3 linked regions of the Drosophila melanogaster genome follow. The protein of the gene in region 2 interacts with the protein of the main gene of each other region in a pairwise test. Each region holds a gene or a part of one and is shown on either strand. Other genes may lie near its edges.

Region 1 (10,141 bases), on a different chromosome or scaffold from region 2:
GAGTGGCTCTTGATGCGACCGAGTCCGACCAAAGTTGACCAGTTCCCCGGGCAAATATATATATCTATATACACATATGTGTGTGCGAAGTGGTCGCTACTCCGCGTTGAGCGTTGTAAATTACATTTTCCAAATGCTTTTGCCATGTCGAACCAAAAAGCCATGTACATATGCGGCATAAAGGAGCGGCCTGGCCTGGCCAACCGGAGCTACCATGGCCATGGCCTGGGCTGTGCTTCCGTTTTGATTTGGAACACTTGTTGCGTTCGGTCGCTCGGCCAGTCGCTCTCCGCCTCCGGCCATAGAGATTTGTCCTCTGGCCAGAACGACAACCAGAAACATTCATTCCTTGGGGGATATGGCCACTCGCAGATACACACGCCAACCCAATGTTCCTACATGGATTCCTACATGGCATTTGGGATGCACCTCCTCGATTCTGGACTCTTATTTTTTTACTTTTTTCGAACTCTCTGCCCGTTGCGTATTTAAGCGTTTTGTTGCTGCGCCGTTGATTATGTTGTTGTAGTTTGTTCGGATTGTTGATGATACGAGTGTTGATTGTTGTTAGCGAAATGGGTTCGTCCCTCGGAGCTGTTGGCTTCGATTAGCTGAATGGCAGATCCTCTAGAGATCGCTGGGAAACTAGTTGAACACAAGTAACATAAAAGCTTCAGTGGGGTTTTCCCAGGTCCATAAATCCGACTAAAATAAATGTGGGTTATCTTGAATTTTATTTATCAAACTATCAATTATATTTTTCATTCTTTGTATGAACAAAATGTCAGTTGTAAAATTAAATTAAATTTAATTCGTTTACATATTTAGTGCTTAGAGATTATTTCTAATACAATGACTCTGGTTCCAGGATCTCGTAGGTTGAAAGCGGCAGGACGTCATTGCCAAAGTAGTTGGCTCCACCTGGTGCAATCTCCGGCACTGGATCGTTGTAAAGACGTTCGAGGAAGGGACTTCTGGACATCATCATCCTAGAGCTGATGACCGGGCGCCTCTTCACGAAATAATCCCTCCTGTGTGGCCTCCTCATGGGCGATATCTGGTCCATGATTTCGTTGCTCATTCTTCTCTCCGCCGGCAGCGATGTGACCTCATTGAGTATTGAAGATCTCGACCTGGGTCGTGCCCATGCGATAAGGACCAAACAGGCAATGACCAGAATAAGAAGGGCAAGTTTAGAGCTCGACATCTTGACTGCTTGGCAGTTTGGTATTGAATGTACTAATGGCGTTCGGCGCGTAGGAATTTATAGTGGCAAAGATACGTCACAGGTAGTCCTAAAAGGCGTACCCTTTAAGTAATTTATAATTATGCCATGTGTTTGTCGTACCTGGTTTTACCTACTTTTATTGTCAACAAATGTCTACAAATCGGAGTCTGCGATTTTACATCTTTAAATTGCTCGTTTTGTCTACTACTTAAAAATATATTTAAATATATAACATGTAAGTTATTAAAATAAGTTAAACATGTTTGTTGGTTACAAATCGTACCAACTAGCGAACAAGCTTAAAAATGTTAACCCGTTTTTCTTTGGAATGAATATCATATCATTGGCCGCAAAGGTTGCGGGCTATTTAGATAAACGCTTCCAAGGAGTAAGTACATTGAAATCCATCAAAAGCCACAATTTCCTTGGCCATTCCACTCGGGGCCATCACTTAACCCATCCACCTCATCAATCTCCGACATTTGGCTAACTATCCGCCAGGCGATCCAACTGGGACGAAGTCACTTAGAGTCGGCGTCTCAACTCCAATCCAATCCACTCCAATCCACTCTACTCCACTCAAGGCATCAAGATCGGCTGGGATTGGATGCGATGCCATTTCATGTTAATCAAACAACGAAATCCATCAACAGGTGACACACACCGCCAAGTGGGCGGCTGCCGGTGGGCTGGCGGGCGCAAAAAGGGGGTGGTGGGCAGCAGCGACATCCAGCAGACATGTCAGTGCGATAATGGTGCTACTTCTCTGCCAGCGGAGTGGAGTATGAGTGTGTGTGTGTATCTAAAACAACTTCATTCACAAAAATCGGACCAACAAAAAAAAAACGGCAGAAGCAAAGTAGCAGAGCATCTGCAAAAAGGAAGCTGGGCCATTAAAAATATCTTGTGGATGCCATGGCCAGGCAGATAGCAGCCGCCACAAGATGCATTCAAAAAGGCAGAGGCCACTTGGTAGCATCCTCATCATCATCATCATCATCGTCATCATCATCACCGATGGTTTTAGCCGCGGCTTTGGAACCGGGAGCTGTGCAACCTCGGAAGCAACAGCTGCGGGGGCGGGACAGGGTCGCTGGTCGCTCAGTTGGCCGGTCGGTGTTGGCCGACAGTGCAGCCAAGGAATAGCCAAGAAACATACGCCTAATGCCACAGTCATCGACATCCGCCATTTAGCTAATTAACCCAATGTTGCCCAAGGGAATCCTGCTGGTGGGCTGTTAGAAAAAACAAATAACTTGCGCAATTAATTTCTCTATAATATCGTTATTCTATTTTAAGCCAAGAACTTGTAAAGATATTTGTTTAATATTTAAAGAGGTTTCAAACGTTTAAAAATATCTAAAAATATGTTTTAGCTCAAATTTTAGTATCATTTGCTAATAATAGCATCACCTCTTAGATATTCAACGGAAGAACATAATTTTCATAAAATGTACTTCCTAATATAAAGTCAGCCAATCATACTATCATAGGCCATAAAGGGTTAAGCGATCTTCTCCCTCTCCTCAGCTTAGCTCCTTCTCGCTCCCACCTTTCTGGGCTTCTGACGCAGCTTCTTCAGCAACCTCAGCGAATTGAGCTTCTGCTGCTGCGGCTGCGCAGTCGCAACTGTCTACATTTGTCGGCCAGCCTTCTCTTTCCCACCTTCCTGCTGCCACTGCCCATGGCACTGCCTCCACGTCTACTCTTATTCTTCTTCTCCGCCGTGTTCGTCTTGTTCTTCTTCAGTCGATTGGATGTCCAGCTTTCAATTTGCAACATAAAGCATCTTCATCGTGGGCCGCATGAATGGGCAAGTGACTGCGAAAGGGGGGAAGGAGAGGGAGAATTGGGTGTGGGCTGGGAGCTGGTTCTGCACCTCGAGCCCACCCCTTCTGCCGATCATCTGGCCATCGGGCAATCCAGCAATCCGACAATCCAGCAATCCAGCAAAGCGGCATTGACGGTAGGCACTCAGGCGTGCCCCGGCGGTAGTCGCTGACCTTTATTGATTGCTGTTTGACCTCGCCAGCCATTGTGGCTGTTGCTGTTTTCGCTGTTACTGTTGCATCTCCTAACCATTTGTACTTGGCCGATCGCTGCCATAGATTGCACTTGGCTTGCACACGGGCACAGTGGTGGAGAGGAAGGAGGAAGGAGGAGGAGGAGGAGGAGCGGCAGCTGTGGGCGGATGGGGAGCGGTACACGCCCACTAGCATCGGCGCGTCGTCGTTTTGCTTTCTGGCTTTTTGTGGAGCCTTCATTGTTGCTTTTCTCTTCGATGCACTCGGAAAACTAATTATCTTGTTTAGAAAATAAGAGTATTTCATTGAAAAACTACTGGAAAGTATAGGCTTAATAGTTAAACAACATATATAAAACATCATAAATATGTATGAAAACAAGTTAATTTTTAACATTATAATAATATTTAAGCGTTGCATATTAATATATTTTTGGTTTAATAGATAAGCTACACTTTTGCCGTATATCCTTTTTCTCTCTCTGCTGCCACTGGTAGTCTTGTTATTGTTGCTCCATTACCTCGTTCATGGCAGTTAATTTATATTCGATGCATCTCCCTGTCCTTTTCTTGGGGCCTCAATTTTTAGTGTTCTCTTCTTAACTCTTTTTTTTCTCATTTGAACTTCCTTTTTGATAGCGTAGTTGCCGAAGGTCGACGTCAGTCGTCTTCGTTGGTCGTCATTGACGCCTTTCCTTGTACTTAGCCTACCATTTGCCAGGCTAAAACAAAAGACAAAGGCAAGGCAACAATAAACAAGAAAGCTTGTAAAATGGCAAATTAGACTACCAGATACCTTTTAGTATGCACGATTAAGGGCTCGAAAGTTAGCAAGGTATATGAGAAGCTTAAAATGCGTAATGTTCATTTTGTATAACGTTTTAAGAGTTTTCAAAGTGTAAATTTGGTTGAATATTTTAGTATAAATATATCGTTCTATATATGGTGAAGGGTTCTAAATTAAATTGTTTTACAATGATATACCCCGCAATTACCGGGTACTAAAACGCAGCACACTTTGGAAGCCTCGCTTTGTTTGGCTTCTATCGTGTAGTTTGTTTTGTTTGACAGTTTCTATCTGGAGGGGCTATCAAGTCGGAGCTGGCGAGTTGGAGCTGAAGTTCGAGCTGGAGCTGAAGCTGCAGTTGGAGACTGCAGCCGTGGTCGCTGTCGTTTTGTTTGCTTAATTGTTTGGTTTCCCCCATTTGAATGGAGGTGGAGCCCCTTGGCAGGGAAAATCGTTCGTCTTTCTCGAGGTGGGGGCGATATTTTCCATGGAAATAAATTAGCTGATTGAGGATAACCGTAGTTAGTCGACCGGGAATGGTGGAGTCGAATGGCGAATGCAAATGCGAGCGGGTGACGTACAAGTGAATTATCACCTCATACATTGTGCCTCTTCTGAACGATATCTCCATCTTGTCGCCCTAATGGGGATGCGGATCTGTGATGATCCCATCGGGAACACGATTCGCTCTTGTTTTAATCACGTACCATATCATTATTTCAAGCATTTTAGGCGTCTTCCGCTGGAATTAATCTAGTAAAATCTATAATTACACTGGGTTACACGGCTAAGTTTTAAGGACACGAAGAAATCGAACCCTCCTCGACTACAATAGTTTAAGTTTAAGATTTGTGCATACTGTTAGTATAACAGAAATTCAAAACATCGCATCCCAAGAGTATAAATGTAATACCATAATGAGTCAATTTTTTCAATAACTACTCAAAAAGCCATTAGCGTGTGTTGGCCAGTGTAATTATTGACCGGTCTTGCTTTAATATCAGCAGCAAATCAGATCACTTCATAATGATAATAATCACTCAGCAGAAAATAAATAAAATAACCTGCTGCAAGCTGAAGAGAAATCCAAAGAGCGCCGCTCTTCGACTCTCTTCCGCTCTCTTAAACCAGAAATTCATTCATACAACCAGTTGTTGTTGCTGTAATCGCCACTTGTCGCTCCGGTGTGGAAAAAATAGGCCCCAAAGTCGATTTCGATCGCTTGCTGCTGCACAGTTATTTTTCCGAAGCTCTCGAGTGCGGGTCGATACGGAAGCTTTCTCGCGCTTGCGGTCCATTCGAAGAATAATAATAGCAATAGAAAACGTAATTCAAACAATTTAATCAAAACGCGGCGATCGATGAATATTGTTATTGCGACTGCAGGAGAGAAATTGTTTGTTTAATTGCAAGCGTGCCGCAAAAAACGGTCGACAAGTGCCAAGCCAACAGCAACAACAACAAGTGAATTATTGTACTTAATTTTAACGTACAAATGCCAGTGTGTGTGTGTGCGTAGATTCCGGCAGCAAAGTGTCAGTGTGTGCGTGAGCGCGGCTTTATCAATTGCTCCACATAAAAGTTTTCATTGAAGTGTTTGACAGCAAAGAATTCCAATTCCCACTTAGCAAGAAGAAGAAGCAACAGCAGGGGGAGAAGAAGCAGAGAGGAGGCAGCTTAAAACGGTAATTAATACAAACACACATTTCTGATTCGGCTATAAACAAATGATTCAGCAAATGTCCGCCGCAGCAACTGTAAATGCTGCGCAGCGAGACATTTGATTGAGCCGCAACTCTAATACAGGCGCAATTACAATTACAGTCGTCAGTCGACGGGTGACAAAAAGCTGCGGCGACGCATGCTTGCAATTAGTGGGTAACTGTTTCGGTCCACCTTCTTCTTCACTGCCCCGCTCCCGCTCGCGTACTCATCATTCTCCTTTCTCCCTTTGTGCGTTTGATACTCCCCCGCGTGGGCACAGTGAAGCCTCGAAAGATTGGGATGTTCTTTATATTATTTGCTAAAAAAGTCAAACAAAAGTGTATTTGCAACAAAAAATACGTTTTAAAATAGCTGTTATCTTGAAAAGCATTCGGTAATACCAAAATTTGGTGTCCTAATAATCTGAATTAAGATGAATTATTTTCCTTCAAAAAATTCAAATTTCAGCGACCTTAACTTTGTGAGAACATATCGCAATAGTTATTGTAAACTTTAAGATTAATCATAAGCTATCCTAAGCATCGTAATAGGGAATGTGAAGCATGTGTGTCAGACCAGCCCGTACTTTAGTTGACTTTTACGGTCTTGCCGTGGACATTTTCCAAAGTATTATTTGCCATTTTGTCGCGTTCATTAATTGGCCTGCCTGTGAATCGGCTACCTGTTCCCTCTTGCAGACTTTGTTGTTGTCCGATTGTGACTCTCTGCGGAACGGTAAGTGCAAATTTAACGCTCTCTTTGCTGGTCTGTTTGTACTCGCCTGTCTGTCTGTCTGCACGGGGAACAAATAGATGATCCATTTGTTTCTGCGAAAAATCGAATTGAATAGTAGTCACACAGAATAAAAATAAATATTAAACTATAAAAAAAAAACGTAATAGTATTGCAATCGAATTCGAAAATAAGTAACAAAATCAAACCCCTGATCAATGCTGTATTTTATTAATTGTTCACTTATCAAAGTTAATAAAATGCAATTATCAATTTAAATGTGAAACCTGAAAATGTAAATGCTTTATTTTCGGTGTAGTCGTCTGGAACACTTGTTGCTTGTTCATTGTTTTTACAGTTTTTAAGTGGCGCTCATATCCGGCGTTTGTGGTTGTTGCTGTTTTTTATTTTTTCATTTTTGCGTTTGCTTTTGGGCCTGATAAGCGAACTCACCTTTGTCGCCCCCTCGCCCTGCCCAAATGCCACCCACTTCACTCTCTGGTCACTTTTTGTTGTTGTACATACCTCCGATGGCCGTTATTGTTACAGTTGTCGTTGTAAGTGCAGTTGTGTGTTTAAGTGTGCACACCACCTGCATTTCATTTGCATTTCGCATTTTTGATTACAATATTATTTTAGGCGCTTCGCTTTTTCCGTTTTTCCCGATTCGCATTTCGATTTAACTCTTCGATTTTTGAGTGGCTCTAAACCTTTGTGATTCAGTTAACGTTTATTGCTGGTAATGGCCATCTGTTCTTGGCCTATGGCTCATTGATTTCTTTGTTAGTTTGCCTCATTGTGGCATGTTTTCTTTATAGACCTCTTTGGTCAATTTCTCACTTAGTTTAGAGGTAGCTTATTCAATTAAAATGGTAAGACTATAAGTTTTTAATTGATAGGTTTTTTTAGTACGCTTTTGTTTAATTACTTTTAGAATCGATTTAATATGCTCATACAAATAGAGCTCAAAACATTTATTATTAACATTAATTATCGTGCTCATGCTGCACCTTAAGCTAATTAACGAAACTCAAGAGTTCAATCTGATAACATACAAGACATCTCTTCTTAATTATAACCGATAAATATGACATTTGTCTCAAATAAATCAAAATACTTTTCCATCTTTGTTGTGTGTCAATTTTCGAAGGTTCTCCTTGGGTTCGTTTAGTCTCACAACCCCCATAGGAAGCATAAGGCCAGGCCATCTGTTGATTAACCGATCTCGCAGCGATTGCAATGCATTTGCCCGGTGGATGCAGTTGATGTCTCAAAGTTCAGAATGTGAAAAAACACATTTCGGTGCGCGTTTAATTAAAGTTCAGCACCTCACTCAACCCACTCGACTAAAATCACGACATTTGCGATCATTAACACAGCCGCAAAGATATATATGTATGTATTTGTTCATATGTATATACATATATGTATGTATTTGTATAGTCAGGCACACATGCGATCGAGTGTGGGCGCCCAGATCGGCACTCGATCATCTGTGGAAGCTGGGACAGACAAAGTGGATGCTTTATGGAGAAATATGATTTCATGCGGCGGCTCGAATCAAACAAATAGCGAATCCAAGCAGAAATAACAGCCATATTGTGCGGTGCTGCGGTCAGTGATTAACCTTAGGTTCAAGCAGCGATCTTTGATCTGTCAAAAGATCAAATTATGAAAACCTACTACAAGTCCCCGGAGTCAAAAAAAAAATACCAAAAAGGTAAAAAAAAAAAAATGAAATCAGGGACCATAACAAAACACTGCCAATCAGTTCAATTATGGTCTTATGATCTTCGCAGCGCGAATTCGCTGACGGAATATAATGGCGAGTACATAAAGTTAACTTCAAGTTACCCCTGTTCGTCGAGGATTGCTGAGATCGCGGCGGTGGCGGCAAGTTCATGTGACAAAAATGTCACAGTCAGCAAAAAATTAAAAAAAAAAAAACAAAAAAAAAACCGCAGTCGATCTCATCTCATAACGAAAGCAGAGGGAACCGATCTTTAGCAAAGAAAAATAAAAGTTAAAAACGCCCTCAATGCCCTCAAAGTGATCGTCACTTGCTCTTCATTATTTTTATTATTATTATTATTATTTTTCCTGCTTATTTCGGGTAGAACGGGTTATTGTGATGCGATGATGATGAAGTTGCTGTGCGGCAGAGGTTCGTTTGTCTTCGTCAAATATTTACTTTGGAGTCCGCTAATGACATGAAACGGCGAAATTGTGATGTGAGCCGCAGGAAACTGTTGAATTTGTTATTATTAGCATTTATTTTTGTATATATTTTATGATGCCAGCTTGGGGATTTTCTTTCCATTTTTTTTAAATTTATTTATTATTTTTTTTTTTTTTGCTGGTACTCTATCAAGTGACAAGAGAAGTTTGTGAGGCAAGCAGTTATGTGCCTGATTATATGATGATACCTGAGCCAGTTCTCACCCTCGGCGTGTTTTTTGCGATACACTTTTCAATGAGCTGGCAAATTCCATTCACAAATCGTCGTCTAAACGGAAGTTGAGACTTCCCGAAAGGTCAGAAAGATTTTCGAGAATTTCCACCAATTCTGACTTAAAGTCTCGATCTTCATGTTTTATTCCACAGAAAACTGAGTATTTCCTAGACGAACATCATATTGCATCAGGTCTGTGCGTGCTTTTTCCTAAATCTAGTTTACTCCAATTTTGTCTGACGTAGTTTGGTTGTTATCAGTTTTTTTTTTTTGGTTACATTCGCATAAATTATCATTCGGTTTGACCAATCCGAGCCTAACCTAAACCGTTTAATGTTCATTTACTTTTTCCTTAACTTTATTACAAATATGTTGTTGTAGTTTCTTCGCTTCTTTTATGTTTTATAGCAGAAACGTGTTAATCGCTGCATATATTTCTATAATTTTCGATTTTGTTTTGATTTTTAATATAAATATTTATACCTAGGCTCTTTAATCTCTTAATGGCTTACAGGTTTGGCTTTGTTTAGGTTGAGGATTGGATTTTGTTAATCTGAGCGTGTTTGCTTTGGTAGGTCAAGAGTTTAAAGATGGCTCACGATAAGTGGGTGAGGTGTGAGCTTGTTTAACTGCTTAAATATACGGTTCGCTGTGATGGGGGTCAGTGGGGCTCTAGAATGGAAGAATTCTTGGTGATGTGGTCGTACTGCTAAACTTTATTACATAAAAAGCAATGGCACTGAAGAAATGCCATCCTCTTTTGGTAGAAAACCCACATAAACAAGATATCTTCAATAAGAAGTATCTTCAAGTAACCACGTATCCCATTTGCTGTGACAAACAGTATGTCGGTGCAAGCATATAAGGATATTTTGGAGCCCTCACTTCTTCACTTTCCGATCTTGCAGCACGCAAACAACACGTCAGTCATGAGGATAAACACTTTGGTTGTCCGCTTCCGCCTCGTTTATATTTGACCTCCATTCACTCGGCCTTTTGCAGGTGTCACTTTTCCGAGTACAGTTGCCACACGACCGACCGACCGACCTGACCCCTTTGTGTTGCCCCATAACGATCTTTGCCTCGTCTCGGCCAGTTCTTTTCGCCTTAAAAGTTTTCGTTCGTCACTTGATTTTGTAGCTGCCATGTTTTTGCCTCACATCGCCGACGACAGGCTTCGCCTAAACTGGTGCAAAAAAAAATGAAGAAAACATG
Region 2 (10,923 bases):
TACAAGTTAAACCCCCTGCTGCAGGTGTTCTGCAAGTCGGAGATCCAGGAACTGTGCAAGGCAAATGTGGATTCCGACGAGCACGGCCAGCTGGCGGAGTGCTTGAAGACGGCCTTCCTGCAGAAGCAGATCATCAACCGGCAGTGCCAGATGGAGGTGGCCACTCTGATCGCCGAAGCCAAGGCAGACATTCACGTTGATCCCATTCTTGAAACGGCGTGCACGGTCGATCTGCTGAGATACTGTTCCAAAGTGGCAGCTGGCAATGGACGCAGTGAGTTAAAATAATATACGACATATTAGTTAGTTCCCCATTGAACAGAAAGTTGATAGTTATTCTTAGCATCCAAGGGCGTCGCCAGGCCAAAGACACTAGAATAACAAGATGCGTAACGGCCATACATTGGTTTGGCACTATGCAGCCACTTTTTTGGTGACGGCCAAAATTACTCTCTTTCGGCTCACTCCCGCTGAGAGCGTAAGAAATCTAAAAATATAATTTGCTTGCTTGTGTGAGTAAAAACAAGAGACGAGAACGCGTATAAGTGTGCGTGTTGTGCTAGAAGACGATTTTCGGGCCGAAATCAATTCTGATCGAAGAAACGAATTTACATTGTACATATTAGGGTAGTTTTTGCCAATTTCCTAGCAATATGATAAAATAAAAAAAATTTAAAAAATTCGCGCCCTGACTATTATAATTTTAAAGCTTTTTAAATTTGTTTGTTAAAATCGCCGCTCGAATTAGCTACCGTTTACACATTTATATTTATGTTTAATTCTAATTTGTCTCTCATCTGAAAATTTTTTAAAAGCGAAATATTTTTTTTGAAACACTTTTAATGTTAATGTTACATCATATTAAGTCAAATGATTTAATAAATATACTAAATAATTAAATATGCAATTAAATTAAATTGCAAAAGTAATATCAAAGACAATAGAATTATTCTAGTGTCTTTGCTTTGTTCATATCTTGAGGCACGAAGTGCGGACACAAGCACTCAACAATCATTGCCTTATTAATTTTTCACACGCCGCAAGATGAATACTCTAATGACAAATATTCTTATATAAAGTCATTTTTGAAATATATTTTTGTGATAATATGTACATAGATTTGACTATTTCTAATCTATTTTCAAATAATAATAACGTTAAGGCAATGCAAAACAAGAATTTTTCGCATGGTGCCAATTGATCAAAAATAATATAGATTTAAAGCCAAAGAACTTCTAAGGTGAAGGGCATATTTTGTCAAATTTACAATGCATGTGAATTCGTGTGCACACATACAGATGTCTGCTATCACTTTGTGCGTTGAAAAGAGCTGTTCGCTGTAGCGCTCTTCGCTCTCTCGCTCTCTAACAAAAATTCGAGAGAGCCTGGAGCCACCTCTAGAGCCACGGCCAAAAAATCGTGTGCCAAAAAATCGTATGGCGTTACGCATCTTGTTATTCTAGGGTCTTTGACTCAACAATCATTGCCTTATTAATTTTTCACACGCCGCAAGATGAATACTCTAATGACAAATATTCTTATATAAAGTCATTTTTGAAATTTATTTTTGTGATAATATGTACATAGATTTGACTATTTCTAATCTATTTTCAAATAATAATAACGTTAAGGCAATGCAAAACAAGAATTTTTCGCATGGTGCCAATTGATCAAAAATAATATAGATTTAAAGCCAAAGAACTTCTAAGGTGAAGGGCATATTTTGTCAAATTTACAATGCATGAGCATACGTGTGCACACATAAAGTTGTCTGCTATCACTGTATGCGTAGAAAAGAGCGGTTCGCTGTAGCGCTCTTCGCTCTCTCGCTCTCTAACAAAAATTCGAGAGAGCCTGGAGCCACCTCTAGAGCCACGGCCAAAAAATCGTGTGCCAAAAAATCGTATGGCGTTACGCATCTTGTTATTCTAGGGTCTTTGGCCAGGCCATCAGCCAGGGGGGGCAGATAGTAGAATTCCTCTTCCTACACTGGAAACTCTTAGTGAAAGCACCTATCAAACAGCTTATGTATTTGAAGCAGATCGATATAATTGGAGGCAGATTGACTAAGAGAATAAGAACAGTACATAGTGTAAATAAACAACGGGAAGTTACGTGATAGGCAGCAAATTATGAAATTTCTTGAACATTCCTTTTTGGTGCAGGGGGGTGTGTGTGTGTGTGTGTGTGTGTGTGTGTGTGTGTGTGTGTGTGTGTGTGTGTGTGTGTGTGTGTGTGTGTGTGTGTGTGTGTGTGTGTGTGTGTGTGTGTGTGTGTGTGTGTGTGTGGTTGGTGTGGTTATAAATATAATAATTAATGTTTTTCTCTCTATGTTCTAGAACTTAATTGCTTAAGGACGCTGCTGAAGGATACGCCGAACTCGTTAGAGGCGGACTGCCGAGAAAAGCTGCAGCGACGCATAGAGATGTTCAGGAACGCAGACGACACGTTGGCGCTTCCGCCCGAGGATGTGCAGCAGCTAGTGCAACAAGTCGTCGCCTCTCCGGCGCGGAAATTCTTCCTTGTGATACTAATGAGCGCCACGGGCCTGGTCTTCCTCACCGGCATCTTCCTGGGACGGGCCACCAAACGGGCAATGGGCTTAAAGAATAAATAATTGAAATATTAGACTGTAGTGGCACTGTGTAGGCGGAGTGTGCATGTTTGTGAGCTTGCTGATTTCCATTTCGGCCCATCCATGACCCCATTCCGAAACCCAGAAGTATACTTTCACTCAACCCTGTCTGCCTTTCGATATTTGTGTGAGCAATTTGTGGCTTAGTCGTTTGTAAGACCAAAAAATACGCGAGAAAGGAGAACACAATCAAATATACTAGTTCCATTCTTAGGGCTCTTTTCGTTATAGCTTTTTTGTAACAATTTCACTTGTATATTAAATTGTATTTTTGTAAACAAAAGCCCCTTCTTTTTAACTATATCCACATGGAAGGCATCAACAGATGTTTCTCTTTGGATCAATACCAGAGCGCTAATACGGCAGAGCGCCTAGTTTTGAGTACAAAAGTTAAGTAAAAACTTGGGATAGGCTTATCAATTTAATCAAATAGCCAAGGTAACTCAAAGTATAAAATTTAATATTATGTCCTTGTGGGCTTATGAGAATTAAAATTTGTGTTAATTGATTAAGCTTGACTCTAATTTGTACCCTAGACACGCCTTTGTTATTATTGATATTAGTAATTCTATTATTATCCTTTGTTTTACGTTAAAAATTACAATTTCAACGAACTGTAGCTCTACAGGTGTTTTGGTATATTTGCACAATGAGCTGCCTTTTTTTAGTATATGGGACCGGATGGTATGTTGAAAGAGCCCAACTGCGGTCACACTGCTCGCAAGTGAATTGGAACAAGGAGATTTTATTGCGTTAGAAAAGGTTCAAAATAGGCACAAAGTGCCTGAAAATATCGTAACTGACCGGAAGTAACATAACTTTAACCAAGTGCCTCGAAAAATAGATGTTTTTAAAAGCTCAAGAATGGTGATAACAGACGTCCAATAAGAATTTTCAAAGAGCCAAGTAAGCAAGACCAATTCATTCACATCACAGGCACCCACACAGATGCAGCCAAAACAGGTTCTATTAAAATAGCTCTGGCTACGTTAGCTACAGCTGCGTCCAAAATAGTAGCACTTTTGTTGGCAGCAGCAACGGTGTTTTATATTGCGTAAAATTCAATGATTTATTTTTTGAAAACATCAATATAATATATTATAATACATTTATTATTATTATTATTATTATCTACTATATAAATATATTTTGTGATAGAATTAACCACCTCATACCTCTCTTTTCGGCTCGTAATTCCTTTATTCTAGACACACTCCATATTTATCTCTTCTCTACTTTATATTGCAAGTAAAATTTAAATTACATATGTGAAGATGTTTGGGTTTCAGTTATTTATACAGCCGACGACTATTTTTTAGCCGCCTGCTGTGGCGACAATGGACGGCGTTAAGGTTGAGACGTTCATCAAAAGCGAAGGTGAGTCCAATCACCCGAGCCATGCCACCTTGGAGCCCATTCTAACGCGACTGTTGCCATTGCCCTCTGACCTTGCAGAAAACCGAGCGATGCCCTTGATCGGAGGAGGCAGTGCCTCAGGCGGCACTCCTCTGCCAGGAGGCGGCGTGGGAATGGGAGCCGGAGCATCCGCAACGTTGAGCGTGGAGCTGTGTTTGGTGTGCGGGGACCGCGCCTCCGGGCGGCACTACGGAGCCATAAGCTGCGAAGGCTGCAAGGGATTCTTCAAGCGCTCGATCCGGAAGCAGCTGGGCTACCAGTGTCGCGGGGCTATGAACTGCGAGGTCACCAAGCACCACAGGAATCGGTGCCAGTTCTGTCGACTACAGAAGTGCCTGGCCAGCGGCATGCGAAGTGATTGTAATTTTCGTTTAAGTCGTCGTCTCAAGCTATAACCAATCTCTGGCCTGGCCAGAGTCTACGTGCTCCAGCAGGCTTTAGCAGAATTGCATTGTAGAAATTAGGAGATATCATATATGTAGCATTTAACTCTGACAAGTAATGAAACGTTATCGATTCACAGGAACTCAGTTTCCCAGAGCTTAATCAAGAACTGGTTGGATGATCTCCAATTCGAATTGGACTCAAAGATAAATAGTCTAATCTAGAGAAAGTTCAATTTCAATTGAATTCAATTCAATTTTCGTCTGTGAAGTGCATTTTACACCAAGTAATCACGTGAATCTAATTGCATCCCAGTGTTTGCTTCTGTAACGTGAATATCCACTTCAGTAACTTGCACATCTTAAAACTGCAGCGGCGGAGGCACAAAAGATTCCCAGCCTGCACGAACATTAACCAATTCACCCACTTACTCACCATCACCTCGCTTTGAAAATCATCAAACCGCATCCTCACCTCACTTCTCGCTCTAATTAATTGCCTTCCGTTCTCATCAACTTTTGTTCACAGCTGTGCAGCACGAGAGGAAACCGATTGTGGACAGGAAGGAGGGGATCATCGCTGCTGCCGGTAGCTCATCCACTTCTGGCGGCGGTAATGGCTCGTCCACCTACCTATCCGGCAAGTCCGGCTATCAGCAGGGGCGTGGCAAGGGGCACAGTGTAAAGGCCGAATCCGCGGCCACGCCTCCAGTGCACAGCGCGCCAGCAACGGCCTTCAATTTGAATGAGAATATATTCCCGATGGGTTTGAATTTCGCAGAACTAACGCAGACATTGAGTAAGTTGAACTTTGATTTACATTCTGGTTGGTCATATATACTTAACTGCCATGATTGATCCATATTTAACTTCTTTTAAACGAATTCACCATTAATAATCTCCTATTGACTTTGCAGTGTTCGCTACCCAACAGCAGCAGCAACAACAGCAACAGCATCAACAGAGTGGTAGCTATTCGCCAGATATTCCGAAGGCAGATCCCGAGGATGACGAGGACGACTCAATGGACAACAGCAGCACGCTGTGCTTGCAGTTGCTCGCCAACAGCGCCAGCAACAACAACTCGCAGCACCTGAACTTTAATGCTGGGGAAGTACCCACCGCTCTGCCTACCACCTCGACAATGGGGCTTATTCAGAGTTCGCTGGACATGCGGGTCATCCACAAGGGACTGCAGATCCTGCAGCCCATCCAAAACCAACTGGAGCGAAATGGTAATCTGAGTGTGAAGCCCGAGTGCGATTCAGAGGCGGAGGACAGTGGCACCGAGGATGCCGTAGACGCGGAGCTGGAGCACATGGAACTAGACTTTGAGTGCGGTGGGAACCGAAGCGGTGGAAGCGATTTTGCTATCAATGAGGCGGTCTTTGAACAGGATCTTCTCACCGATGTGCAGTGTGCCTTTCATGTGCAACCGCCGACTTTGGTCCACTCGTATTTAAATATTCATTATGTGTGTGAGACGGGCTCGCGAATCATTTTTCTCACCATCCATACCCTTCGAAAGGTTCCAGTTTTCGAACAATTGGAAGCCCATACACAGGTGAAACTCCTGAGAGGAGTGTGGCCAGCATTAATGGCTATAGCTTTGGCGCAGTGTCAGGGTCAGCTTTCGGTGCCCACCATTATCGGGCAGTTTATTCAAAGCACTCGCCAGCTAGCGGATATCGATAAGATCGAACCGTTGAAGATCTCGAAGATGGCAAATCTCACCAGGACCCTGCACGACTTTGTCCAGGAGCTCCAGTCACTGGATGTTACTGATATGGAGTTTGGCTTGCTGCGTCTGATCTTGCTCTTCAATCCAACGCTCTTGCAGCAGCGCAAGGAGCGGTCGTTGCGAGGCTACGTCCGCAGAGTCCAACTCTACGCTCTGTCAAGTTTGAGAAGGCAGGGTGGCATCGGCGGCGGCGAGGAGCGCTTTAATGTTCTGGTGGCTCGCCTTCTTCCGCTCAGCAGCCTGGACGCAGAGGCCATGGAGGAGCTGTTCTTCGCCAACTTGGTGGGGCAGATGCAGATGGATGCTCTTATTCCGTTCATACTGATGACCAGCAACACCAGTGGACTGTAGGCGGAATTGAGAAGAACAGGGCGCAAGCAGATTCGCTAGACTGCCCAAAAGCAAGACTGAAGATGGACCAAGTGCGGGCAATACATGTAGCAACTAGGCAAATCCCATTAATTATATATTTAATATATACAATATATAGTTTAGGATACAATATTCTAACATAAAACCATGGGTTTATTGTTGTTCACAGATAAAATGGAATCGATTTCCCAATAAAAGCGAATATGTTTTTAAACAGAATGTTTGCATCAGAACTTTGAGATGTATACATTAGATTATTACAACACAACTTTGATCAAATGTTAATCTAATTTTTATTAAAGATGTGGATCTCATCCCACAGATTGGCAGAAAGCAGAATACAAAGTCAAGAAATGGCAACGTGTAGGGAACAATTTAAAGGCGGTCGTTATATTTTTATTTTTTGTATAAAAATAATTTGATTGTTTACTAAAGTAGATAGACGAACTGCAGCTAAATATGCATCCAGTCTTTACAACTTAATCTAAGCTAGAGCGAGGGATTACTGTTCCTCTTCGGGTACCTTTCTGGCGGGCTTGTGCTTCTCGTAAGCCTCATCGTTGAGTCCCTCCCGATTCCGGGCAATCTCGATGGCCAGAAACTGGACGCGAAACACGAAGATAGAGTTGTCCGGGGAGAATTCCCTGCTGGCATCGGCGCGCATCAGGGTGCCATACGAGTAATCGTCCAACTTGTTAAACTTCTCGGCGAACTGGCGCCACTTGAGCTTCGCCGTGGCGGATTTGAGAATATCATCGGTAAGCCGGCCAACGTGAAGATCGGGAAAATCCTGCCGGAAAGTGGCGTATATCTGGTCGTCGTAGGGCGTGAGCTTCAGCTGGGAGGGATGGACGCTGGTGATGAGCTGCCGGGAATACGATGAAGCAGTGTCAACTACCATTCCTTAACATCGTTCAAAGTGTACTCACATTAAAGTGCACCTCGGCGTGTTCCAGAGCTTTTGCGGCCCACATTTCCTCCACCAGGGTGTCGTTGCCAAATTCCTCCGCTGGCCGCGACAGCAGCGACGCTCCATGCTAACAAGTCCATTAATCAGAATCGGTTAATTTCTTTTAGCCACTACATACCATCATCTCCATTTTATTTGGACAAGGTTGCTTATTTACTTTAAAAATTATTGAAACGAAAAATCACGTTTCGTACTTTGTTTAGCGCAGTGTGACCAGCCGCAAGTCGGGATGAATAACGTACAATGTCGTACAAATACCGAAGACAATATTGAATTCAAAATTAAATAAATAAATTTAAGTAATTGATATGCATTGTTGTACCAAACAGTCGAAAATTAATTTGGAATAAAATTGTTTCAAATCAAATATCTTAAAACATCAAAAAAAAAAAGAAATTTCTTTAAAATAAATAAGTTGAAATTCTAATAGCTTTTTTAAGATTTCAAGAAATTAAAAAGAAACCGAAAGAAACAGAGTCCTTTTACAATCTTATTCGCTTTGATTTTAGTGTCCGATATTTCTTTATTTTCCACACGAGGCCCGACTTGTTCGAAAGCTGTTTTTATAACTACACACGTTATCAGCACACAACAAAATTTCGGGAATCATGTTCGAATGCATAAGTTTCTTGTTCCTGGCTGCCTTGGCCTTCGTGGCCTGGGCCGTTCTCTGCTTCCAGCACTTCGTCCAGGTCCAGACGCGGCTCTCCTCTGATTTCCGAGTCGAATTATACACAGGTGAGGATGTCCATTGTTGTTTTGAGTTAAGTGAAGAAATGGTGGTTGAATCCAACACTACACTTATGATTTTTTAATCACTCTTAAAAGTGATCCTTTTAAAGCCGGATACATTAGAAGTTAATGTCTATATTATTTTAATCGTTATTTGTGGTATTAAAGGGTATTCGAGATTTGATTTAACATATGAAATAGATATCAGACATTAAGTATATGTATTAATCTTTCTTAAGATCACTTGCCAGTGATCTGGCCATGTCCGTCTTTCCGTCCGACTGAACGTAGATACCTAGAAAAGTTGATGTAATTTGGTGTTCCAAATACTTATCGACCCTTAAAGTTTTTCACAAAGTTGTTATTTACCTTTTGCCTTTTATTCACTTGTACAGAGCGTCCTGGGATTACGTTTGAGCCGCAGCTGTGCCACAGTCCCTCAGAGCAGAGTAGCTCCGACAGCTCCGACAGCACCTACCAGTTTGCGACGAGCTTCGGCGTGATCTTTGCCCTGACCTTTGGTCTGTCCAAGCTGCTCCAACTGGCGGAGCTGCAGGCCAAAAGGTATTTCAAGAGCAAAAAGGCGCTGCATCCCAAATCTGCTGCCAAAGTGCAGGACCCAGTTGTTGAGCAGAAGGCGCCAAGCCAGCAGGACGATTCGAATCCCTTCGATCTCCTGCAGGACCACAATGAAAATCTGAAGGAGCAGCTCAGTATCCTGCAGTTGCAGTGTCTGGAAATGCGCGAACTTCTGCACGAGCTGGATATCAGCAGTAGCTCCAGTAGCTATGGAAGTGTCAGATCCGGAAACCGGGTAGCAATGGCCAAGTCCTCCGAAGAATCAATGGTGGTGTGGAGGCGATCGGACTCCCTGACCGGTACGGTCTCCGGCTCATTGCACGCCGAAAAGGTCAACTCCCCCTCCACACAAAACATCTACATTACCAACAGCCACTTCCACATCAACGGACAGGTCTACCTGACCGAGAACCACGTGAACGTCGAGCTCACCCAGAACGCTTCTTTGTTCGGTCGGGGGCAGAGCGAGTTCCTGCAGGTGGCGGGAAGGTTCATCTCCGGACCAAAGAAGATGCCCATGTTAACGGGCATGCGGTGCCACAACATCCTCATATGAGGAGTCTTCAAAATCATCCATTTCACTCGGAATAAACAATGTTACTAGCAATTCAACGACGTTTATCTTTAGTAGTTGGTAATACAAGGGAAATGGTTCCATAGAAAAAGGGCATCGCATCAAATAAGGCTTGCTCGACTATAGGTTACTTTCTAGTTTTATTATTGTAGTTGATTTAACATAAATGTTTTTAAAAACTTTGGGGTTCGAGTGTTTTAATGTCATCAAGAAAAGGAATTTAAGGAATAATTCTAGCACATTATCTATAAAGGCAATAATCGCTTACTCCTTTTGATTTACAAAGTTATTAATAATGTACATATGTACTTAATTAACACCAGAAATCGATGCCATTTACTTTGTTTTAGTCTTGTATTTAAAATTGAATTATTCGTTTTTTTGTACTGTATGTTTTTTATTGAATAATTTGCTACTAGAATGATTCCGCCATGGGGTATATTGGGAATAGAAGGGTATGGCTAGCTTTATTGGTCATTGGGTAAATGGTTTTCCCCTGTTTTCCACCACCCCAATAAGTATATTTCGTTACAAACACATGGTTTTAGAGTTCAGCAATAATGATTTAGCACTTTGGGGTCGACCAAGGAAAGATTTTTTCTTTAACCATAGTTACTTTTACCTGCATGTATCACATTATGCATTGACCTGCTTGGATCTACAGAAAATCGTAAGATTAGTTGGGACGCACCGTAAAAAGATGAGTGCAGCTGCTGGAAAGCCCTTCTTTGATGACACCTGACCCAGGTAACATTGTTAAATATGCTATGTTGCCCATTTTACAGAACCAAACGACCTTGGGACATGTTTGTATATAAGCCTTACGACTTACCTATTCACTTCAGAAGGAGTACAACCCTTGTCATAGCAACATCTTTACAGATTGCCAATTCCTGTGCTTATTGCCACATTTTAAATACGCATTCGCCGTGAACAAACACGAAAATAAGGTAAGTTTAAGGTAAGGATTGCCATTGTGGGTCAATTCGTGCCGAGTTAGCAAAGTCATAAATAAACCAAGATGTATTTGGAAATTAGTGCAATTTATGTTTAAAGCTCTACACAAGTATTAAATTTCATTGATTATTAAATATAAGAAAGAGTGCAGAGGGTTCTTTTTGATGCTATGCAACTAAAAGATGACGTTTGTCACTGACCTTATAAAGTGTATGTGTCATCCATGACTACGATCTAGTCGTACCTATTCTGTCCGTTTGTTTGAAAGTTGAGATCTCAGTGTATTTAGCATTCAGGATGTAGATTCCAGAAACGCTAATACTCAAAGATCTGGGAATAACCATTATACTTTTTTGAAACCGTTTAAGTGCACGATTTTGTATATTCGCAATTTTATATTCACACAGTTCGTGTCATTTCAGATCGATGGAATCGTCAATATGCCGAGTTTGCCTGGTCAGTTACGAAAATATGGCCAGTGTTTTCGATGAGTCTCATGAACCGGGCCTATCCATTGCGTACATAATATACAAGTGCACCGGCTGGCAAGTTGAGAAGCACGAT
Region 3 (10,629 bases), on a different chromosome or scaffold from region 2:
GCGGCGGTAAACATCACGTACCAGATCCACAACTCCGCTCTGATCCTCCAAAGACTCTAAATAACGAAGCATCTTCAGCCAGAACTCGTCATACAAAGCACAGGCGATTAGGCACCTTTCGAACAAAACCAGGACTCGCTCGCGATCACCCTTTTCGATCTCGAAATCCAAGTAGTCCTTCCAATTCTTGAGCTGTGCCCTCTCGAGTGGCTTCACATGGAAATAAGGCCGCTTGATGCCCTCCTCGAAGGACCAGCGGGCTGTCACTGCGCTAACGGTCAACTTGTGGACTTTGCGCCGCGCCGAGATAGCCCTGTCCCTAATGCTGACCACCTCTTCGTCATTCAGAGTGCTAAGATCACTGAAATCGATCTGCATTGCCGGCTTTGAAGCTGCATGCGATGACTCGCTTTCGGTGGTCAGATCGGTAGTACTATCTGATTCATCGACTTGAGTTTCACTTGTATCTTTTGGCGACTTACCAACACCGCCCCCGACAGTTTCTCGCTTCTCCTTGTCCTTGTCTTTGTCCTTATCCTTGTCCTTCTCACGTTCTCGCTCCTTTGAGTCTTTGTCCTTGGAGCTGCTGCTGCTGTCCCGGCGATGCTTCGACGAGGACTTGGAGGACTTGCTCTGCTGACGTTCGTGGAAGTCTTTGCGCAGACGGATCACCTCCTCGTTTGCAAGTGTGATAGTTACATCATGCTGATTGATCAAATCTTGGAAACTGAAATGTGCATGTACATTATTCGCATGTTTCACAAAACCAATTTGAGTGGAACTCACTTGTCGAAGTGACCATTATAGCCCTGTGTCGGTATGGCCAGAAGTCTATCGTAGATCTGGACCACACGGTGGTACCGCTTTGACTCGTTCTCCCAACGAATGTAGGCATCCCAGAGTTTGTCCGATCGAAATTCCAGGCCGCACGCCTTCACTGCCCTTTCATACTGGGAGCGGACGAATGTTTCATCATCTCCGTGATTGGACTTAACGTGCATTAGGTAGTGGATCCACAGATCCACGGACAGCGGAATCGCCTCCAGTCCGCGCTCAAACACCTAGGATTTGGTCATTTCGTATGTTCGGTACAAGTTTTGATTTTTTCATTTATTGTTGATTGATCGCAGAAGAGAAATATAAAAATATATTCGTGGTTTATAGTAAGATTTCAAGAGTTAAGTGCTCAGATACTTAAGGTTATCGTTTTGATGTGAATGGTGTTCGGGCTTAAAAGCTAACTTAGCGACTTAACAAGTACACGGAATACATAACACACAGGTTGTAGTTGATTTCTTTTTTGGCACTCGATTTACAACAAAATTCACAAAGAGACTTAAAAATTTCATTTAAACGCCATTTGTACTTACGACTGTACGAGATGCGATCTCACTATTTATATCGTGTTGAAGAAGGATGGAGGTAACGTAACTGAAGAGGTAACTGGTGATACAAACGTACGAAGATCAGAAAGTAGACGGATCGTACTTCGAGTAGACGAACCAGTCGCTTTCGGGTTCAGGTCGGTCTGGGGTTCGAGGGTCAACAGAGTTGAGCTAGTCTGTGCTGAGTTACAGCGTGATTTGTGCGACACAGGAGTGGCTTATGCTTAAACGGTCCAATTAGTGTCGTGAAGATTAAGGACAATATCTCAGGGGCTAAGATCGCCAAAAAAAAAGTGCTAAGGTGTAGGGAGTACGGAGTGGTAAATAAGGTCGACGTCCGGTCTCGAAATTATGAATTTGGTGTAACTAAGGTTACAAAACAGAAACTACTTTAAAGAAACGTAAACAAATTTGGAGGCAATCTCTATACGCGACCCATTAAGTCCATTTACTTAGCTTAGCCTTTGAAACAAATTGCCAAGCTCCCCCATAAAGCTTTCACCATCTAAAAAAATTAAATCCGTACCCTTTTTAGATTCATCTCCCGTAAAAAGTATTTAGCAGACACGAACCCTATGAGAAAACACGATCCTAAGTGGATGCTGCACTAGTCTCATGGCAAGTTTGGTTTTGTCTTCTCAATTTGGTGTATTTTGGTAGATGTTGCATTTATTGAATGTAGTATTTTTATTAGGTCATAATAAATTGCATTTAACAACAAATATATGAATATCAATTGTAATCGTAATTGTAAGCGTAGTACAAGAAATTGCGAAAGATATTTATTTGCACGACCAAATGTAAGTGGGGTACTCACCTTATAGCAGTTTGCCTTGATGCCCTTGCGCTTCTCGTAGTCGGCATACTTGCGCCAATATCCGTAGCAGTAAGGATAGTGGGACAGGAATGTGTCGTAGGCCTCGCGCGCCGCCTCCGCATCAGACTGTTGAGAAAGAAGAAAATTGCTTATTTAAAGTTCAAGATATGCGGCGTTCGGCTAAATAACCACCTCATTGTCAACATATTGCAGCAAGTACGTCCAGCCGGTGAAGTCGGTGGAGTCTTCTTTGACAGCTCTCCAGTACTTATCTAGGTCCGGCAGCTTCTTTCGCTCCTTTTCCTTATCCTTATTATTATCTTTGTCCTTATCCTTCTCCTTATCTTTATCGCGCTCCTTTTCCTTCTTTTTCTCCTTGGGCTCCGATTCTGTGGGTTTAAATATTGTGAGTCAAGCTCTACCAACTAATTAGTCATTGGAAGATTAACAATTACCTTCGACCTTGAGTTTTTTCTCTGAGGGCTGTGCGTCGTTGCTCTCAGATGTGGGACTGCCCGGATTATATTGCTCGGAGGATTTATCCTTTGTGCTTGATTCATGACTGCTTGCATCCTTATCTTCGGTGCTCTTAACGCTTTCGTTTTCCGCCTTGCGCTTCAAAGGTGCCTTGGGCTCAGTGGCGGTGTTATTGTTATTACTGGCGGGCAGTTCATCCTCCGAGATTACTTCAGCATCCTCTGGCAATTCAGCCCGCTGCGGTGCTGGAAGCTCTTCATCGGAAACTTCCTCGGCATCATTTATTTCAGGCTTGCTGGGCAGAGGTAGCTCATCCTCGGAGACTATCTCTGTGTTGACAATGGTTGCATTGCTGGTGTCCGCATCGGCCAGATCCTCGGCAATGGCATGTTGTGAGCTGGAGTCCTCAGAGGAATTCATTTTCTCCATCTGCGGCTGCAGGGAGTCTACATTGTACTCAAAGTCCGCCTTCTTGACATTGTCACTCTCGTCATTTCCACCCACGGAGGGCAGGCTGTTGGCATTATCGCCGGCTAAAGAAGCCAGTAGGGTGTCCACGCCAGCCTGACCGCGTGTCTCTTTAATATCATCACTAGTCTCTGAATGCAGCTCCGCCACCGTGCCAAACGGGAAGGAAGAGCTCTTTTCATCAACCCCAGCAGCTTCGGCTGGCAGCATTTCCACGTCATCCTCTATCTGGTGCTGAGTCTCCTCGAATTGGGGCTCCAAAGCAGGTGCCTCCGCAGTGTTTGTCCCTCTAAAGGGCTCCTCCTCTTCCTGAACCATGACCACTTGCTCTTCGGCCTCCTCTTCGTGGTCACTTAGCTGAAAGGATTAAAAGTCGTTAATGAAGGTTCCCGGCATTTCTCAGAGCATTTGTGGATGCTGTGCCTTCAGTTGGCCCTTGCAGGTAATCACTCGCTCCTCCAGGGAGAAGAATCATGTGCGGATGGAACAACGCCACACCCACACTGGAAATTGCAATCGTTTACATCATTGGCTGATGATCTGGAAGAGGCGGTAACTACGTGGGATGAACTGACCTGTACGTTCCGCTTGGATGTGCGCCGGGTGCTTCTGGTTGGCAGCGATGCAGCCGGGGATGCGGCCTTCCGACCAGAACGTGTGCGGCGACCTGGAAAACGTCAATTAACTTTCTTGGTTAATCCATGCGGTTTACATAAACTGTACGCGCGGTGTTGTGGGTTGTTCGCTGCCTCGTGATGTTCACTTTTTTCCAAATGCTTTAATGGGCTGCTCCAGCTAACTGTCAGTGTCAGCTACCGAAATGGGCTAGTAAGGACTGAATTTTTAATCAACGGTCACTAGGTCCGGTCGAAGGAATGCACGTATTTGTAATTTTTCATCAATTTACCTGGACTTTCCATAACAACGTTTTCGCCCTCTGACGCCATATTAACATTGCAACGTGGTATCGATATACATGTCCCGCCAATATCGATATCTCTTTGTTTGGTCAAGACTGACGACTGACTCATAGCTATATTTTGAATATTTTTCAGAGGTTTTTCGAATTTCGATATTTATCATTTTTTAGCATTGATGAATGAATTATATACAATCTATCAAAAAATATAATTTAATAACGAAAATAGCCTAAGTGCTCAGTGTTTTTCCAGTTCGGCGAACTAGTTCATTTTTTGGCGTGCGCATGCAGAACCTATCTCAACATACAAATTCTAGCAGAAATTACATGTTCCAGCTAGAAATATAATTTAAATATTTTATGGTAAGAGGACTTTAAATATCACCATAAATAATTCTTAATGAAAGAAGATAAAATTTGTTTAATGTTACACATATTATAAATTAGTGGGTTATTAAGTTAACATAAAAAACATAAACAAATAACACAATCATTGGGCCTACTTCCTTTAATATTTAGGGTTTGAATGTTCAATGCATAGGATTTTAAAAGCCCAAAAAATTGTTATAGTTTCTATACAACATAATCGTGAATTATATCAAGTAAATACAAACATGTAAATGGAATTGGTAAGTAAAATGTTTCCTTGTCGGACAAGATTTCTTTTTGAGTCAAGAAATCTCTTTAAATGTTATTTAGAATGGTGAATCCAGTCGTGAATTAAATATAGCTAATAACCCGCCTGGCGAGCATCACTCTTAGCGGGACTGCCACTCGTGCGCGTCTTCTAACACTGTTCTCAAAATGGCGACTCGAGAATTGTAAGCGTGACAAAAACAACAAAGCCAAGGCGCATTTCACAATAATTAAATGTTTTTCGATCAATTGCGGCGCGTTTAATACAACGAAAGCGATCGCGATGAGTGAATTGGGGACCCAGTGACCGGGCAACGGCGACCAGTGAACGCAAAGCGTCAGCGGCGCGGCGAACAAAGACAAAATACGGCGAGCGAAAACGCCGACCGCATAACCTGTACGTGTAAGCAAGGCAAGGCGAATGGAAGGCGGCAAGGGCGAGGGCAAGAGAATGAAAGAGGAGGCGCCAAGCAAGAAGTTGCCGCCTAAAATCTACGGCGGCGATGCGGGCACCCCCACGAAGGCGGCCCACGACGAGATACTCAGCTCTCTGCTGCGGATCAACAACTTCGACTCGATATCGAGCATCAAGGACGAGTCGCTGGACATCGATCTGTCGGCGTGCGTGACCATCAGCTCCGCCAGCCTGGTCAATGGTAACAGTCTCTCCTCCACCGACTTTTGGCGCGTTTTGGACGAGAGTGCCCAGAACAACACCGAGCTGAATCTATCCTCGGACGTCTGCCGCGATGACTTGGCTGCCACCAGCTCGTCAACCGTGCCCAGCACTCTGACCAGTGATAACCACTCCAGCTCGGAGTTTAGTGTGACTTTCCTGCGGCCCGAGCCCCCGAATGCTTTCACTAATTCCCCGTTTAAGAAGACTTCGTCCAGCGGCACCTCCACACCCGTAAAGCTATCGCCCGAGCAGCTCCACCAGCAGCATCAGCTCCAAATGCCCCAGTCTCAGCTGCTGCAACGCAAGCCAAAGCTGCCGGCGGCGACGGCGGTGCGTCTGAAGGTCTTTAAGGAGGAGCCGCCCGAGGAGAAGCATCCGCCGGAGCAAGTGGTCACCAAGGTAGAGGTGTGCGAGTCTGAGCTGCTGCCGCCATCGTTTACCATATTCCAGCAGGCCAAATCGGCTGAATCGGTGGCGGATGCGGCTAGCATGCCGCCTCCGGCTGCTTCGGAAACGAAGCCGTTGGAGGTGGACCCGGCACCTCTACACAAGTGTCTCGACTGCAACGGACTGCTGCTGGAGACGCCCGATGAGGTGGCCAAGCATGAGGCGGCCGCTCACAGGCTGAGGCTCACCTATCGTTGCAGCGAGTGCCAGCGGGAATTCGAGTTGTTGGCTGGTTTGAAGAAGCACCTAAAGACGCACCGCACCGAGGGCCGCAAGGACACCTGGAAGAAGTGTCCTGACTGCGGCAAGTGGTAAGTGTTACTGCAAACTAAAAATAGTTATTCCTATTGACCATTTTACTCTAACTTTAGCCTCAAATTGGGAAGCATGTGGATGCATCGGAAGATTCACAGCGATAACAAGAAGTACCAGTGCGACATCTGCGGCCAAAAGTTTGTGCAAAAAATAAACCTCACGCACCACGCACGGATTCACTCATCGGAGAAGCCGTACGAGTGTCCCGAGTGTCAGAAGCGATTCCAGGAGCGCTCACATCTGCAGCGCCACCAGAAGTACCATGCGCAAACGCGTTCCTATCGTTGCGAAAAGTGCGGCAAGATGTACAAAACGGAGCGCTGTCTCAAGGTCCACAACTTGGTGCATCTTGAGCAGCGACCATTCGCGTGCACAGTGTGCGACAAGAGCTTCATCAGCAATTCGAAGCTTAAGCAGCACTCCAACATACACACAGGAATGCGCCCGTTCAAATGCAATTATTGTCCGCGAGACTTCACCAACTTCCCCAATTGGTTGAAGCACACGAGACGCCGACACAAGGTGGACCACAAAACGGGCGAACACCTCGAGAACATTCCCTCCTACTGCTCTAAAAAGTCCACTACAAACAAGGCCCAAAAGGCAGCCGCGGCAGCAGCAGCAGCGGCGGCAGCATCTTCAGCTGTGAATCCCAACGAACTCTCCGCTTCTAGTGAACTTAAAGCCAAGGCTAATCTTACGTCTACTGCTGCACCGGCTCCTGCAAAACAAGCGCGGAAAAAGAAGCAGCCGCAGCAGGCCACTCTTGCTGCATTGGGAATAACTCTACCTGCCGGTACTGCTCTGCAGCAAGTGCATCCTGTGCCGCTGGCGCAACAGCATCAGCAGGAACTTACCACTGTGCTGGTGCCGCTGGCCCCGCCGGCTCCTAAGCAGACCAAAGCCAAGCGAGAACGAAAGCAGCTAGCACCGAAGCAACTGCAGCAAAAACCGCAGCTGCTGCAACAGGGCCAACCCCAGCAGTCCAGCTTAGAGCCCATTCCTGCTGTGCCGCAAATCAAGAAGGAGCCAGTGCAGACTCAGGGTCCGTTCCTTGACTTACACGGTCTTAGTCTGACTTCAGCCGAAGAGCTGATCATGGAGCAGGCCCTGGAGATGGAGGAGTGCGGTCTGTACGATGCTCCTAATGCAAACACTGAAATGGGGACGTCGGACAACGCCATTTCCGATTCGGCCGCTGCCCTGCACTTCCAGATAAAGAATGAATTACCGGACGAGCTGTTGCCAGACGATGACTTCTGTAAGTTTCTAATGAAAATGTCCTGTTTTATGAATTGATTTACCTAGTTATTCGTATAAAATAGTATTCCTTTTAAAAACTTTATATTAATTTAAAATTTTATATTTGTAGTGCCTTGTAAGCCCAGCGACCGACTACCTTGCCCCTCACTGGAGTCCTCGCCGTTTTCGTCACCCGCCTCCATGGAGCTGACCGCTGTCTCATGCGCCTCCAGTGTCGCCATATCGACGAATGCTCTACCAGTGCGATCTGGGAACTACTATCTACCCGCCTTTACGCTGAATGCACACGGAAAGCTTAGTAGTACGGGCAATGGTGTTCAGTCTGTGACCACGAGCTTGGCCCAGACACCCTCTGTGTCCATGGTGAATGTGCCTCTTCTGGTGAGATCCAATCAGATGCTGCCCTCAGTTGACACGCTACTCTTCACCAACCAGACAGGCGGAAGTCGATTCTTTGCGGGGAAATCGGCGACTGCGGCCACGCCGCATCTGACATGATCGGGCGGCGGAATCTGCTGCCTGCCAACATCAACGCCTCAACGATCTCCTGTGTCTTAGTTAAGTTAGCAGTGTCGACCATGTTGCACCAGCGCAATTGGGCGGTCGCGGACCGATGGCAATCGATTAAAAGAATACGGAATTGTTTCCCGTAGGTAATTAAGAGTATGACGCTACATTTGTTTAAGTAATTGACGTAAGCTGATTTCTGCATAGCCCGTAAGTGTAATTGAGTGTACATATAAACGATTATATATAGATACATAATGATAGATCTTTAATTTGTACGCTTCACACCAATAATAAATTTCGTACATATTTTAGTAAACATCCCATCATTTCTTGCAAATTGGAACCGTTCCCTTCTTTGCAAAGGGCGTAATTTAAATAGGTCGCGCTGTAATTCGATGCAAATGGGCTTAGGTTTACCATCTATCTAAGAAGATCATTCACTGTCCAAGTAGAAGAGTTTTAAAAGTAGCTGGAGAAGATGTGGGATAAGCCAGGTATAAAAGACTTAAGTTATCTGTTCCGAAGAGATACTCACAAGGGCTGAATACCTACTCAATCGCAATCACGAATTGGTTTGGGTGGCTCAAAATGGTGAGCAAAGCCTGGATTGTAAGTATTGTTAAAACGAATATGAACTCCCCGTACCGAGCACTGTATGTTTTGATTGTAGTAATTAACCTCCACGTTTCTAATATATATACGTACTCAATCTGATCGTAGTTCTAATCTAAATGAATCCTATCAGGGCAACCCCAAAAGCTTTAATACTTGAAGCCACCTTGTTGTACGTTGTTTTATTTAATTTATTAACGTTACTTCCATCAGTTGTTGAAATGTGTATGAAACCATCAGCTACACGTTAGTTCCTAATCTTAAAAACATCTCCTATTACTTCGCAACAAATGCTGGTGGGTCTCTCAGTTCCCTTAGAGTCGAACGCTCGAAATTTAATGGTGGTCTTGTAGCGTCCTTCACGAAGTGGGACGGTAACTGAGGCGGACAAACTGAGGAAATAGGTATCCAGAATGAGCTTCGTCTGAAATGAAATGGTTTGAGATCAGCTGTATATGGCGATATAGCGAATCCTACCCCTGGAGCATTTATACATTGATCCTTCACATCGTTCATAACATGTCCTGTCCATGGCTCATAGAGTACATTACTTTTATCATACATGGTTTTACAGAAATCCTGGGAAAGTATAGAGAAAGCAGTCGACGTCCACGTGCCCCGATCAAAGTAGAAAAGCTTAATGAACAGCTGCGGAATAATTGGGCTGTTCTTGATTTTATGGACGGATTCGCACTTAGGACTTAATCACCTGTACGCGATCCCCGCGTTGGATGTCCCACACCAAAGTCTGATTCCCGCTTACAGTCAGTCCATCCGCCTCCAAGGAAGTGGAGAACTCTGAAAAATCAAAGAGTCCATGGATGTCGAGGGTGCCTGGCTCAGGATTGGGACAGCTGCTAAATATTTCTTCATCGGCCACAGAGAGTTCGTAAAAGGCGCCATTTGCCTTGTAGAATAGGGAGACCAGCGCAAGAATAATTATTTTCGCATCCATTATAAATCCGTGCACAACTAAAACTTTTTAAAAAGGTCGCTGGTGTTATGTCCAATATATATTTTTTAAAAGCACGCCATTGGAATTTTAATAATAATAATTACCCTCCAGCTGACACAGTTATCGTGTGTACACTTATAATCTCACATGGTGCTTAGTTTTAATTGTCTACTTAAAATCGTATTATTAATTATTTCAACAATCTAATTTTTTATGGTTACCAAGTTATAATTCTAATGAATAATGAATTAGGATCTAAGAATACCAAATGCTTTATTTTAGTTAAATCTATTTCCTAAATTGATTCTGCTACTATCCTGAAGAAATTGCAAGAGCAAAAACTGTCAGACCGAATAAAATGCATTTTGCATTGCCCTAGGGTTTGTTCCACATACTCCACTTCCTTTTTTTCCTATTACTTTGAGCGACACTCAAAAGGCTGTATATCAAAGTCAGCAGACAAACAGGGAGTTTAAACGATTTGCCTTTTAGGCTTCAGTTAGGGGTGGGATTGCATTTCATTCCACTGCTGCACCTAAAAAGGGGTAAGTCTTCGTTTTTGTTTTATGGGTTAGACACTTGGTTTTAGTTGGGGAATTTAATACGTTTTTTAATCCCAATCTGCTGAAGTGTACTACAGATGCACAACGAATAACTTATTTTTAAATCCTGTTTCACCCAAACTGCTAACACTGTGCTTTCAAGATCTTGTGGACTCCAAATTTATGGCACTCTCGAACCTGCCAAGACATCGTCGATTACCATTTGATATATGGGCATCGTTGGCATTATGAGGCATATTGAACGGAATGCCAAATGGAGCAAATTTCGAAATCGATTTGGTTATTCGAAGTGAAGTTCACACATTGAATTTCGTCTCCAGTTATGACCAGTTTTGGGAGTAGTAAAGCGTTTTGATTTCAATCTCAACATATGATGACACATAAAACGGTTTCTTTAAACTAAGGGAAACCAAGACCCTTTCAATGTCGACTGAGCCGGCGGTGTGCCTGCTCCCGATTACATAATATCCATATTCCACGTACCCGCAAAAGGGTAACACACAGTGCCACGATTGCTGACAATGTCGCAACAACGGGAATGACAGCATAATAATAATAAAAGGGTATAAAACACCCGACTTTG

The links.
Region 1: the proteins of Hr78 (region 2) and Samuel interact in a two-hybrid assay, tested with the Drosophila melanogaster proteins (one study listed by BioGRID).
Region 3: the proteins of Hr78 (region 2) and wdn interact in a two-hybrid assay, tested with the Drosophila melanogaster proteins (one study listed by BioGRID).

The regions. Positions count from the first base shown.
Region 1 is NT_033779.5:11,062,127-11,072,267, reverse strand, and holds the start of Samuel (SAM-motif ubiquitously expressed punctatedly localized protein), read left to right. Parts: upstream 1-5,269; 5' UTR 5,270-5,723; intron 5,724-10,141. Other genes in the region: CG14915 (uncharacterized protein), read right to left, coding at 845-1,207.
Region 2 is NT_037436.4:21,489,909-21,500,831, reverse strand, and holds Hr78 (Hormone-receptor-like in 78), read left to right. Parts: upstream 1-3,337; 5' UTR 3,338-3,541; intron 3,542-3,648; exon of another isoform or gene 3,649-3,689; intron 3,690-3,810; exon of another isoform or gene 3,811-3,924; 5' UTR 3,925-3,972; coding exon 3,973-4,012; exon of another isoform or gene 4,013-4,090; coding exon 4,091-4,411; exon of another isoform or gene 4,412-4,439; intron 4,440-4,963; coding exon 4,964-5,233; intron 5,234-5,351; coding exon 5,352-6,526; 3' UTR 6,527-6,813; downstream 6,814-10,923. Other genes in the region: Glg1 (golgi complex-localized glycoprotein 1), read left to right, coding at 1-274, 2,340-2,617; CG7519 (uncharacterized protein), read right to left, coding at 7,050-7,412, 7,477-7,584, 7,636-7,647; CG7202 (uncharacterized protein), read left to right, coding at 8,126-8,255, 8,645-9,384; Neu2 (Neuroectoderm-expressed 2), read left to right, coding at 10,831-10,923.
Region 3 is NT_033777.3:28,805,580-28,816,208, reverse strand, and holds wdn (wings down), read left to right. Parts: upstream 1-4,871; 5' UTR 4,872-5,123; coding exon 5,124-6,139; intron 6,140-6,199; coding exon 6,200-7,404; intron 7,405-7,515; coding exon 7,516-7,904; 3' UTR 7,905-8,226; downstream 8,227-10,629. Other genes in the region: Prp39 (pre-mRNA processing factor 39), read right to left, coding at 1-727, 787-1,061, 2,203-2,328, 2,395-2,591, 2,658-3,504, 3,723-3,814, 4,055-4,094; CheB98a (chemosensory protein A 98a), read right to left, coding at 8,776-8,952, 9,006-9,176, 9,238-9,483. UniProt on the Drosophila melanogaster protein: May belong to a complex set of multifingered proteins which play an important role in gene activation or regulation at early embryonic stages through a maximal accumulation of their transcripts (or protein product) in the mature oocyte.